2 linked regions of the Schizosaccharomyces pombe genome follow. Each later gene encodes a partner of the first gene's protein in a complex. Each region holds a gene or a part of one and is shown on either strand. Other genes may lie near its edges. The genes, in order: phf1 and lsd2.

The links.
Region 2: phf1 (region 1) and lsd2 share a complex: the UniProt entries of both Schizosaccharomyces pombe proteins name them as parts of the SWM histone demethylase complex.

What each region holds. Positions count from the first base shown.
Region 1 is NC_003421.2:458,074-462,593, reverse strand, and holds phf1 (PHD finger domain-containing protein Phf1), read right to left. Parts: upstream 2,727-4,520; 5' UTR 2,478-2,726; coding exon 1,092-2,477; 3' UTR 680-1,091; downstream 1-679. Other genes in the region: mrpl4 (mitochondrial 54S ribosomal protein uL29m), read right to left, coding at 209-643; serine/threonine protein kinase S6K family Psk1, read left to right, coding at 3,184-4,494. UniProt on the Schizosaccharomyces pombe protein: Component of the SWM histone demethylase complex that specifically demethylates H3K9me2, a specific tag for epigenetic transcriptional activation, thereby acting as a corepressor.
Region 2 is NC_003424.3:444,773-451,393, reverse strand, and holds lsd2 (putative histone demethylase SWIRM2), read right to left. Parts: upstream 4,625-6,621; coding exon 2,153-4,624; intron 2,100-2,152; coding exon 864-2,099; 3' UTR 668-863; downstream 1-667. Other genes in the region: meiosis specific arrestin family membrane adaptor Ste7, read left to right, coding at 1-184; Fe-sensing transcription factor Fep1, read right to left, coding at 6,131-6,621. UniProt on the Schizosaccharomyces pombe protein: Catalytic component of the SWM histone demethylase complex that specifically demethylates H3K9me2, a specific tag for epigenetic transcriptional activation, thereby acting as a corepressor.

The sequences.
Region 1 (4,520 bases):
GTTGCCGGGACAACCGAGATTTTATGATCAGTATAAACAAAATAAAGAAAACAATTATAGGTGAACAAAATAAAAAATCATTATCATCATTATAAAACAGTTTCTCGTGTATTAGGGTATATTTTTAGAAAGTTTGTGAAATGATGAAGCTTTAGATCATAATAAAGCCATACTTGGATGATTTTCTGTTTTCCTAAAAGGAAGGGGTTTAAGAAGATCCCTTTTGTTTCTCGAGCTGCTTGGCAGAAGTATATGCTCTTTGGCGTTCCCATAGGACAAATTTGATAGCTGCCATGGTTTTATTGACTGCAAGTACACGCTCATTTGAGGCTTTGGGAATAGTCAACTGTAAGCGTTTCATTTCAGCCCTTTGTGTGAACAATAGGTTCTTCTCTCGGAGACAATTGTACCAAAGTCCATGTAGATCATTAAAAGACTTCCAACGAAGCTCTTCTGCAGCCCATGCTCTACCGAATTTAGCCTCTTCCGATGGTGGTGGAAGGGCTTGCTTGTCCCGAAAGAAATTCCACAAAGGGTGCGTGTCTGAAACCTTAGGAGCACTTTTTACTTTTGGAACAGGAAATACAAAGCCCTTTGGAATACGTACGGCTGCTTTCTGAGCGCTAGCCAACGTGGACCTCATCTTTGGTGGTAAGTAGAAGGTGCGCTGTAACACCCTGACATTGACCGATAATAATGGTTGTAAGTCATACTTTAAAAATAATTATTTTTTATTATACTTCATTGACTTTCTTAATTATTGCTAAATTGAGAAATTGTTCATTTCCTTATTTTATTTTATTTTAAGATTTCATGGCGAGGAAACATTCCAAACGAAAAGTTTATAATGTAAACAGAAAGTGTGTAGGGCGATTTATGTATTTTCCCTAGATTTGTTATCGAGTGAAAAGTTTGAATCCATGAAGGAAATACTAAAGTACTTTGATTTGCAGCTAATACATGGTGTAATGATACATTGCTTTCGACCGCTTATAAATTTATTTCGAGATTAACGGGACGCAACCGTTTAATTAAAAACGGGAAGTAAAGAAATTTTTTTTGTCTATACATTTAGAAAAATTTGTTCAGTTTCATAAAACAGTAGCACATAAATTTTGAGGATCATCGGTGGGGAAAGAGACAGGCACCAATTTAGGTACCTTACGGTTTCGTTGAAAAGTAGGAAGTAAAGAGGGTTGGAGGTGAGGGTATTCTTCGACTGTTGCTATTTGATAGATGCTACCGGAACGGACCAGTTGACCTTTATTTACCATCCAACGAATGGCCTCGGAAGCGCTGTCGTGAAAAGTTGGTAACAATGGTACGTTTTGAGCAAGCCAGTTAAATATTTCATCTTTGGAAGGTGAGAGGGTGTTACGAATAGCTAACCGTATTAACGTTGGATAGTCGTATAAGGTTCCAGAATTCGCAACATAACTTGCGGTATAGGGGACAGGTGCAGGCTCATCAGAGGGAGCTTCATCTTGTTTAGCATGAAGTCGCTCTTGTAAAGATATTTGTTGGCGTTCAGAACTAACAAGTAGTTGATGCCGAATCTCACCCAACAACTCCCGAGTACGTGGGTTGTATATGGGAAGAGATGGATAAGACTTTTCACAAAAAAGAATAAGATCTGCGAGATGAGGAGTAGGTAAACTTGATAGATACATTTTTTTGTCTGATTCACTTAACCCAAGATCTTGTGCCGTCATTCCCGTTTCTAAAGGTTGCTTGGCACGCCTGTACTGGCATTTCATACAAAACCATTCAGCATCCACATCCTGAACGGTTGCATCGTCAATCGGAGGGTGATGGCAAAGCTGATGATATGGAGAATTGCATCCATCACAAAATACGATTCGATTAGATAAAGGAGAATGTCCTCGTTGACAGACGCTACACAAGGTGACCATATCGACCTTGCGACTTTTCCGTTTCAATGCGGTGGCATTAGGATTGTATGCGACTGGCCGCTGAATCTTTCTACCCGATTTTGTTTTCATTCCTTCCACGTGAAAGTCTTCCTGTAAATCATCCTCGGCACCTTCTGCAACATCGAGATCGTAAAATGGTATACGATTATCGTCTTCCCGACGAGACGATCGAATGCGTCCATTCTTAGTCTTGGTTGATGCAGACTTGGGCAAGCGATTGAATGATACAGACAAAGAAGGATCTTGCTCCGGTGGTACTGAAGTAGCGCCTGAAGAGGAAGATGCAGGCATAGTCATACCGCCATACGGTGTCTGTACATGCTGCTGCAGTTGATGGAAATCAGCGCCAAATGGTCCAACATCGGAAATTCCAGAACCCGATGCGACAGGGGAAGCATCAAAATTCGAGCTGTCCGTTTCTCTAACTACACCTTGAGCCGATACCTGAGGAAGGGATGAATCAGCACCATTTTCAAAATGGAAACCGGCATAGTCATTTACACCATAGCTCTTTCCTTCGTCGAAAAAATTCTTTTGAGACATTGTAAAAAACGAGGACTAATAAATATGAGTAATTTGGAAAATTTTGATTTAAAACGAAATGCACAATTAGATGAAACTAGCAAACATGAAACGCAAATTAAAATGATGATACACGCAATTGTCACGCAGTGAATGTTAATTCAAAATATCTGAGACCATAGAATAACTTTATGTAAAAAGTAAATCTTCCTAAATCTCAATTCATTGATGTAAATTCGCCATTCAACGAAAGATGAGTTTAACACGCGCGTCTCAAGAAGAAGGTATGCATAGGCCATATAAAACTGGCATCGTTTTACAGAGCCAGCCTTACATTACGGTAACAACATAAGCAACAAGACATTTTCATTCGTTAAAATGCACAAAGCACATCGTATAAGACACGTTAATCATCACTAATCTAGCTTCTCGGCATAAAAAAATTTTAAAGTAAAACGCACAATAGCCTATGTAAGCGGTCCAATAAGTAGTAAGTTGATAACTTTAATTAGTAAAGAGGGCGAATCAAAAGCTTTATATATATCTAAACTTTACTAAATTGGCCAATCAGCAATGCGTTTTGAATCAACAAAATGAGGTATGACAAAGAGAATTTCTTGCTCTACATCCCGGCAGTCTTTTGTTCGTCTACCAAACAACAAGGAAAAGGCATTTTGGGCATACATATGCCAAACTTGTGATCCTTCACAGTACAAATTGCTCAAAGATGCCTGTCTTTATGTTTGATGAGCACGACAATTTGAATGAGAATTACAATTCCCATTTGTCTAGTGACGATGAGATTGCAGAGGAGGGATATGATTTTGAAGAATTGGAGGCATCTGCGTCGACAATCACTTCGTCAAGTGATTTGAAGGATGGAAAGAATGCCAAAGATGAAAAGGGGACGGTAGAGTTTAAGGTTGCTGCCCATGGTGATTTTATTTCTTCCAAGGGTGACAACTATGTACCAAGCGGAAAGATGCGTCCAGCAGACTTTCAACCCTTAACGGTATTGGGTCGTGGCTCTTACGGAAAGGTGCTCCTAGTGAAGCAAAAAAATACTGGACGACTGTTTGCTCAGAAACAGCTAAAGAAAGCTAGCATTGTTCTTCGTGCCAAGGGCCTCGAACAAACCAAAAATGAGCGACAGATATTAGAAGAGGTTCGACATCCGTTCATTTGTCGCCTTTATTATGCTTTTCAAGACCACGATCGTCTTTATCTGATATTGCAATATGCACCTGGAGGAGAGTTATTTTCTCATTTGGCCGAGCAAAGGATGCTTCCTGAGGATGTGGTTGCTTTTTATACTGCTGAATTGACTCTAGCATTGATACATTTACATAAACTTGGTATTGTGTATCGGGACTTAAAGCCAGAGAATTGTCTTTTGGATGCTGAAGGCCATATCCTTCTTACAGACTTTGGATTGTCAAAGGTGGCTGAAAATGGAGCTGATTGTCGTTCTTTTGTAGGCACTGAGGAATATTGTGCTCCAGAAATTTTGTTGGAGCAGCCATATGATCATGCCGTCGATTGGTGGTCTATGGGTATCCTCATATTCGATCTTCTTACAGGATCTCCCCCCTTCACCGCCAACAATCATAAGAGAATTATGGAAAAAATCACTCGTGCAAAGCCTAACATACCTTTTTATGTGACTTCTGATGCTAGAGACATTATCAACAAATTTCTCAAGAAAAATCCAAAGCAACGCCTCGGCGCAGATGGTCCCGAGAAAGGTTACGATGCAATAAAAAAGCACAGAATTTATCGCCGAATTGATTGGAATAAGTTAGAGAAGCGCATGCTGCCTCCCCCAATTGTTCCTTGCATCACCAATCCTGAGGCTGCGGAGAATTTTTCAGTCGAGTTTACCAAATTGCCTCTTTCTACAACACCCATTCTTCATGAAGAATTTGGGAATTTAACAATTGGTAGCCATTCCTCTGCTTTTCAAGGCTTTACCTATGTTGCGTCTCCCAATTTTCTCAACTGTGAATTTTTATCTAACAACGCAGTTTCGAACCATTAAATAGGTTTCGCTAAAGCATCATTTAC
Region 2 (6,621 bases), on another chromosome or scaffold:
TGCTCTGTATCTAGCTACTTTGCCAATGGGTTATGAACGATCTAATTCCGTATCATACTGTTCAGATTCAAGTCTTAGCTCCCCTTTGCCTGACGACAATATGCTACAAGATCCACACGCTTTGAACATGGCGTATGCTAAAGAATTCGATGTTCTTATCAATGAAGTCTTACAGTCTCTTTAATTATTTATAACAGACTTCCTGAATTACGAGTCTTTATAACAACCACTTTTTTTTTGACAATTGAGATGCCATCTCCTATTAACTTTTGGATAATGCTTTTAATTATACATGTCCAAATATGGACTGGAGTCAATAACTCGGCATTTTTATATTATTTTATTTTAATATCATATGCATCTTATGTTTTTTTTTTAACTATTTCGTTGTAGTACTTGCTTTGAGATACATAGTGTCCATGGTGTCTGCAACAAATACAACCGCATCTGTTTTGGCTTAATTTAATGATTCTTAGTTAATTTTAATTACTTTTTTTCTAATAACTTATTTTTTTATTTATTTCACAAGCGTACTAGTAATATCATTTGTTGCTTGAATATTATGTTAATGGCAAAATGGTAACATGCATTACATCCTAAAGAGTGAGAGTAGTAGCTGTGTTTACGATATCATCTTTTATCTCTTACATCTTCGGCATTAAATCAGGTTGGCTACTGGCTAACGAGAAGTGTACATGTATTTTAGATTTTCCTTAAACAATTTGCTGAAATTAGCAATTTGATAAAATGCTTCATTTAGGGCATGACGAGAATATATATGTACATAAAATTTTAAGGGTATTTGTAATGATGCGAAGTAACTAAACTTTTAAAAAACAATATGTGATTTGATTTTTTTTCTTTTAATATCGTGTTCCATTATAACCCGAATCAGAAGATCCATCGTCATGATACTCTTCGTCGCTAGCCTCTCGACTTTTGGAAATGTTGTCATCCTGAGTTTGTTTTCTTTGCTCTTCTTCTCGTTGAGCTTGCATAAACAATCTTGCTTCATCATCGGGAATAGGTTCATCTTGGCATTTGGCCGCATAATCATTTCGTATTTGCTCGGCTCTCATTTCATATTCTTTAGTTAGGCGCTGATAACGAAGAATTTTTCCAGCATAAGCTTCTCTTTGTGCTGCAATTTCATCAATCCAAGGTTTTTTACCTAAATCATCAAGCTGGCGCCAAGTTTTCCCTAGTTTGGCACGTGTTTCATTAATAGTAGCCTTCGCTGTACTATCTCCTGTTAACCTTCGCTTGTCTTCATCAGCAAGTGCACGGCATACATGCCACTGCATTTTTTGGTAAAGTAAAAAGGGATTTGCATTCGGCTTGGAAGGAGGTTCAGGTAAATAACCAAGAAGTTCAGTTACAAGCTGTTCCTGTTCTTCCTTATGCTCGTCAAGTCTTTCCTGCTTTTTCAACCTATATCTTGCCTGATAAGAAAGGTGACGCTGTGCTTCAGCATTGGGATCAAAATTATTAACTTTAGAGTTTCGCAAAAACTGATCCAATTCTTTGCGAGAGGTTTCTCCAATGATAGGTATGGTTAAGGAAATTGGAGCCAATGAATCAATAATCCCTGTACATACGGAAAGGCCAGATAAAAAGGATCTTTGTAATGTCCTACAGCCTACGCAACTGAATATATAGTCTCCAGCAATATGCAAGCGACCCAAATTATACGATAACTGACTTTGCCTAAATCTTTTTTCATATTGCTGCTTATCATTGGCAAAATTTGGATAAGAATTTAAGCCGTCATAGACACCATTTCTCGACCAGTTTGTGACCCAAGCATCTAATAAATCAGCTGAGCTGTTTGAATCATTTTGAAAATGATCTACTATTAGACTGTGTAATTCTTGAATTAAGTGGGAGGTCTCGTTAGAAGAAGAACTTGTCATTTGTGGATTGATATCCGCTACTAATATTGGGACACCAGTTTCAGGAAGCATATTCCATATTCTCAAAACAAAACAAGATTTACCATCATTCTCATCATTGTTCATTTCTTGACTTAATGATTTTGGTATAATACCAAATGATCTAATGTTCTTTCGCCAAAAAGCAGCTGCATAACGAAGAATAACCTGCTCAATGTTAACTTTATAATTGAAAAAAAAATAAATAAATAAAAACCTACCTTTTTTCCGGGTTTGAAATCTATACTTTTTATGTTTTCAGTCACGAAATTAGGAAGACCTGGTGAAAACTCTATATTTGAAGAAAAATGAGAAGGAGAGCAAGCAATTACAACTTGGTCAACCTCATAAGAAGAGTTGTCCTTACAATCAAGGGTACATTTATCATTTTCAATAGTTACCTTAGATACAAACTTCTCATAATGAATATTTAAGGGAGATGGATAAGATTGTAATGCCCATGGCAGTTGAGATAGACCTCTTCTAGCAACTTTTGGAATCAAAATATCTTTGGAGAAGTCTGTATCAACTGTGTTAAGAGGGTACAAAGTATCGTCCAATTCCGCGACCTTAAAACACCATATCAGAAATTTCTTTTGACTGTTCCCGAGTTTGGCATAAGAAGAAACTTCATCAATTAGTATTAGCATTGTTTTTTTGAAGGAAAATTCATGTGACGCATTTAATGAGAGTGATTTGGACAAATGATCAGGGAACATTTCATCTATAAACAACTGAAATTGGGATATCCAAGAAATACGAACAGATTCCTCAACGTTAATAAAAAAGCAAACAGAAACATATTCCAAAAGTTTTTCCCATAAAATGTTTAATTTTTTCACCTCAACCATGTCTAATACTTTAGTATCGGTCTCATCGTAAACTAAATCTGAGCCAGTCATCTCTGTAACTTCAATACCCAATTGTTTATTTAAAAGGTTAAGCAAAATATCGTCCATAGGCGAAAATAAAAATTGAAATCCCAAATCAATTGCTGAAGGAATATGGGACGGGTCAGTAACATCCTTGGGGTTTAAAGAAGTGGAATTACTAGAAATAGAATTCGAATTAGATGTATGATGGTTAATTTGGGTAGCCGAAGTATGAGAAACAGGCAATGCTCGAGAGTAAATACGACCTCCTGTCCTTTCTTTAGCTTCAAGTATAATAACTTTAGGAGGAAGCTCATTCTTTGACAAAAAAGATGAAGAATACTGAGAAAATAAGCCAGTAAGTTGTCTAGCACATATCAAACCAGTAAGACCAGCGCCTACTACAGCAATAGTCTTCTGCTTCGATGCAGAACTGGATGTTGTGCCAGTATTAGTTTCATTCGTAAAGGATGAATCAAAGGACAAGCATCCATAGTTTATATATCCATACCTTACAAGGAATTCATAAGCTAAAGAGGCTAATTGGAACAAACATCGATCGACACATACGCCCTGAGCTTCAACTCTGGATATGGCATGCGTAGGATTTTTAATCCAAAGCCAACAAATGCTGTTACGAATTTGGAAATAATGAAATAATACAACGGGATCGTGTAAACGATCAGAAAGCATGTGTTGTTCAAAACTTTCTAAGGCCCTCGGATCGAGATTGCATTTACGAGCTGCTTCAGCGGCATGCTCAAAAAACGACTTTAAAGAAGATGTAGGGATACTGGCTCCTGCAGATGGTATAGTATGAGATGATGATTGACTAGACCATTGTAGCAGTACTCTAGACGGCTCAATTGCAACAGAACCTTCAGGCCTAGCACCTAACTCTGAATCAAAAAGTGCAGGACTACTAATATTACCAGATGTAGCAGCTGAAGACATTAAAGGGAAAGATGAAGCAGGAGGCGATACAACTGCCGGTGCAGTAGTAGGTGGTATTGGCAAAACTGCGTTATCAACACTTTTAGATAATTCTGTTGCTGATACCAACTGTGTAGGCATAAAACTTTCATGATTGCGGAATGTAGATGGGGTAACTCCATGAGAAACTTGATCCCGATACATCGACAAAAGTTGCTGAGAAGATAAATGAGAAGCGTCTAATGGATACGGATAATTGGAAAAGGCATTTGAGTTTTGGTGTTGAATGGGGCCTGCATGAATTGCCGTTGAACCATCTCCACTGGAAGAAAGCGGGTTTTGTGATCGTGAAGGATATGTAGATGGAAATTGCTGAGAAGACGGAGAGTTTGCATCAAAAAAGTTTTCGTATGTGGATGACTTTTGTTGAGGAAAAGAGGAACCTACAGTTGGAGGTAATCCAATTGTTCTCATTCCAGACTGCTGAGCGACACCTGCATTTGAATTGCCTAAAAGATGCTGAGGAAATGGTTGATTAGCCGCTTGCGAAATTGTGTAAGGGTGAAAAGAGGAATCATATCTAGAAGGTAAAAATGCTGGATTATAGTTTCCCCATTGATTGTTCAGTGAGCTAACTGGCTGTGAATTTAAGCCGCCATCTGTACGATAAGTTGACCTTGAATACGCGTTCTGATTAACAGAATTAGGTGTGATAGACTGTAATCCACCTCCTAAAATAGCTAAAAGCGCTTGTTCACTACTCACCAATTGAGGTTGAGTTGAATTAACGTTGTTGGCGTTAGCATATGATGAAGCCCGGTCAGAATGATGCTCTGTCATTTCTGGAAAGTCATAATGACCATCTGGATCATTCTCGCTCGTGTTCATAGAGTAAAAAGATACAATCAAAGTGAACCGAGGTGGTAAAATCTCATTGAATCTCGATTTGGTGTTTACAAAGTACTTTGCGCAACATATCCTTAACGATTCGTTAAAAAAATATCGTTCTAAATATTATAGCATAATGGGATAACGACAAATATTATAAGCATTTTTATGTCAAGTCCAATCAATCATCTATCAGACTATCCAGAATTTATATTTTTCTTTTAGATAATACATGTGTCTTTAATTATTTGAATACCATGAAGAACGCCCGAGAGGCATTCAATTGCCTATTTATCTGATTCATATTGCGAGTATTATTCTACGATCGCATTTGCTCTCTTCTACAGGCTTAACACTTTGGAAATGATGAACGAAAAATGTGAAGTTCATTAATTTGTATTCATTTTCCAAATTATTGCATTAATGTGTTAGCTCTTTCATGCTAAAGACTACTACCTAAACTCGTTGATTTCAACTTGCAGAAAACAATATTACAATACACTTGAAAGTATAGTCAGCGGAGAATAGAACAAATGGAGTAAATTATTATAACAATCCAAAAATATGTTACATTGCTGTTAAGATTCAGAAAAGCTTAGGATGTTTAGAGTAGTAGTGTAGATTAACTGTTTATCAATATTATACTAAAACATCTCATTATGGTTCAAGTTCGCTATTGTTGAATTTTACAAAAAGTCTAGTCCCGCCGGGGATCGAACCCGGGACCTTCTCCGTGTGAAGGAGAAATCATACCACTAGAACACGGGACTGTTGGTTGTTAACAGAAAAACTAAATGATATATATCATAATTACATTATTATTGATTTAAATAGATTAAATAATGAATAGCGAAGTTATTTGAGCTGAAAATTAAGTGTAAGTTTTTTATATATGTGCTGTAATGAACAATTAAAATTTCAGCCTAATCATATAGTTTTAAAAGTCAAGCAATGACTTTTTGCGAATGAACTAATTAACCATGGATACTGCTTTTTACAAGCAACTCCATTTTCCGTTTTAAATAGTTGTATACAAATGTTTTTTCCCCCGAAAAATTGTAAAAATATATTAATGAATTGACAATTTCCAAATGAGTTTGCACTCGGGCAGTTTAAATATATTTAATATATTAACTATCTACATACCATATAAATCCGGTAGTATTATTTTTTCTCAATATCTGCTTTTTCGATGCGTATTAATATCATAAAAAATGCTCCACATAGGATTTCATTAAAAACATATATGTTAACTCTAAATTTAACGGTAAATCGCTAAGGACTGAATATTATTTTCCAGCTCTTAACGAATATAACACCGCAGACGGACTTGGCCAATACCAAAACTAACGCAAAACAAAAGACCAATAAGAATCATGTGAAGTATTTTACCCTAAACTCATAGTATACAATGTCATGCTTGTAAGTAATAGACAGCTAAACGGGATAATATCTAATTTGTTTACCATAAATAAATATGCCGCACGACAAACATGCCAATCAAGTTTATGTTTGAAGAGCTCCAGATGCAACAACAGCAGGGGTTGAGGATTTAATATGTTCAGAAGCCATATTTTCATTGTCAGAGGACCTCAGCCATTCATCTATTTGTTGAATGTGCTGATTTAAATTGTGCAACTCCTGAATCATTAAATCATGCTGAGAACGCAATTGCGAAAGAACATTCAAAGCATAATTGCGTTTATCTACATTTGATCCCTGAACTTCAGGAGGAAACTGCAAAGAAACCGGCGAGGTAGAGGATTGGATTAAAGGAGCTTGCTGAGATTGCGAAGGTGAAACTTCTGATTTCGGTCCATTTGACATTGATGGCTGCTTGTCGGAATTTGAGGGTGGCTCTTCGGGGTTAAGTAAGGAAGCAATTCCTTCAGCAATCCTTGGCTTTGCAGAAGTTCGAGGAGGCAAACAGACTGACTCGCCAACAGGAAGGATAGGAGGTAAATGAAACTTCATGCCTAAGGGGTTGGATTGGTTGG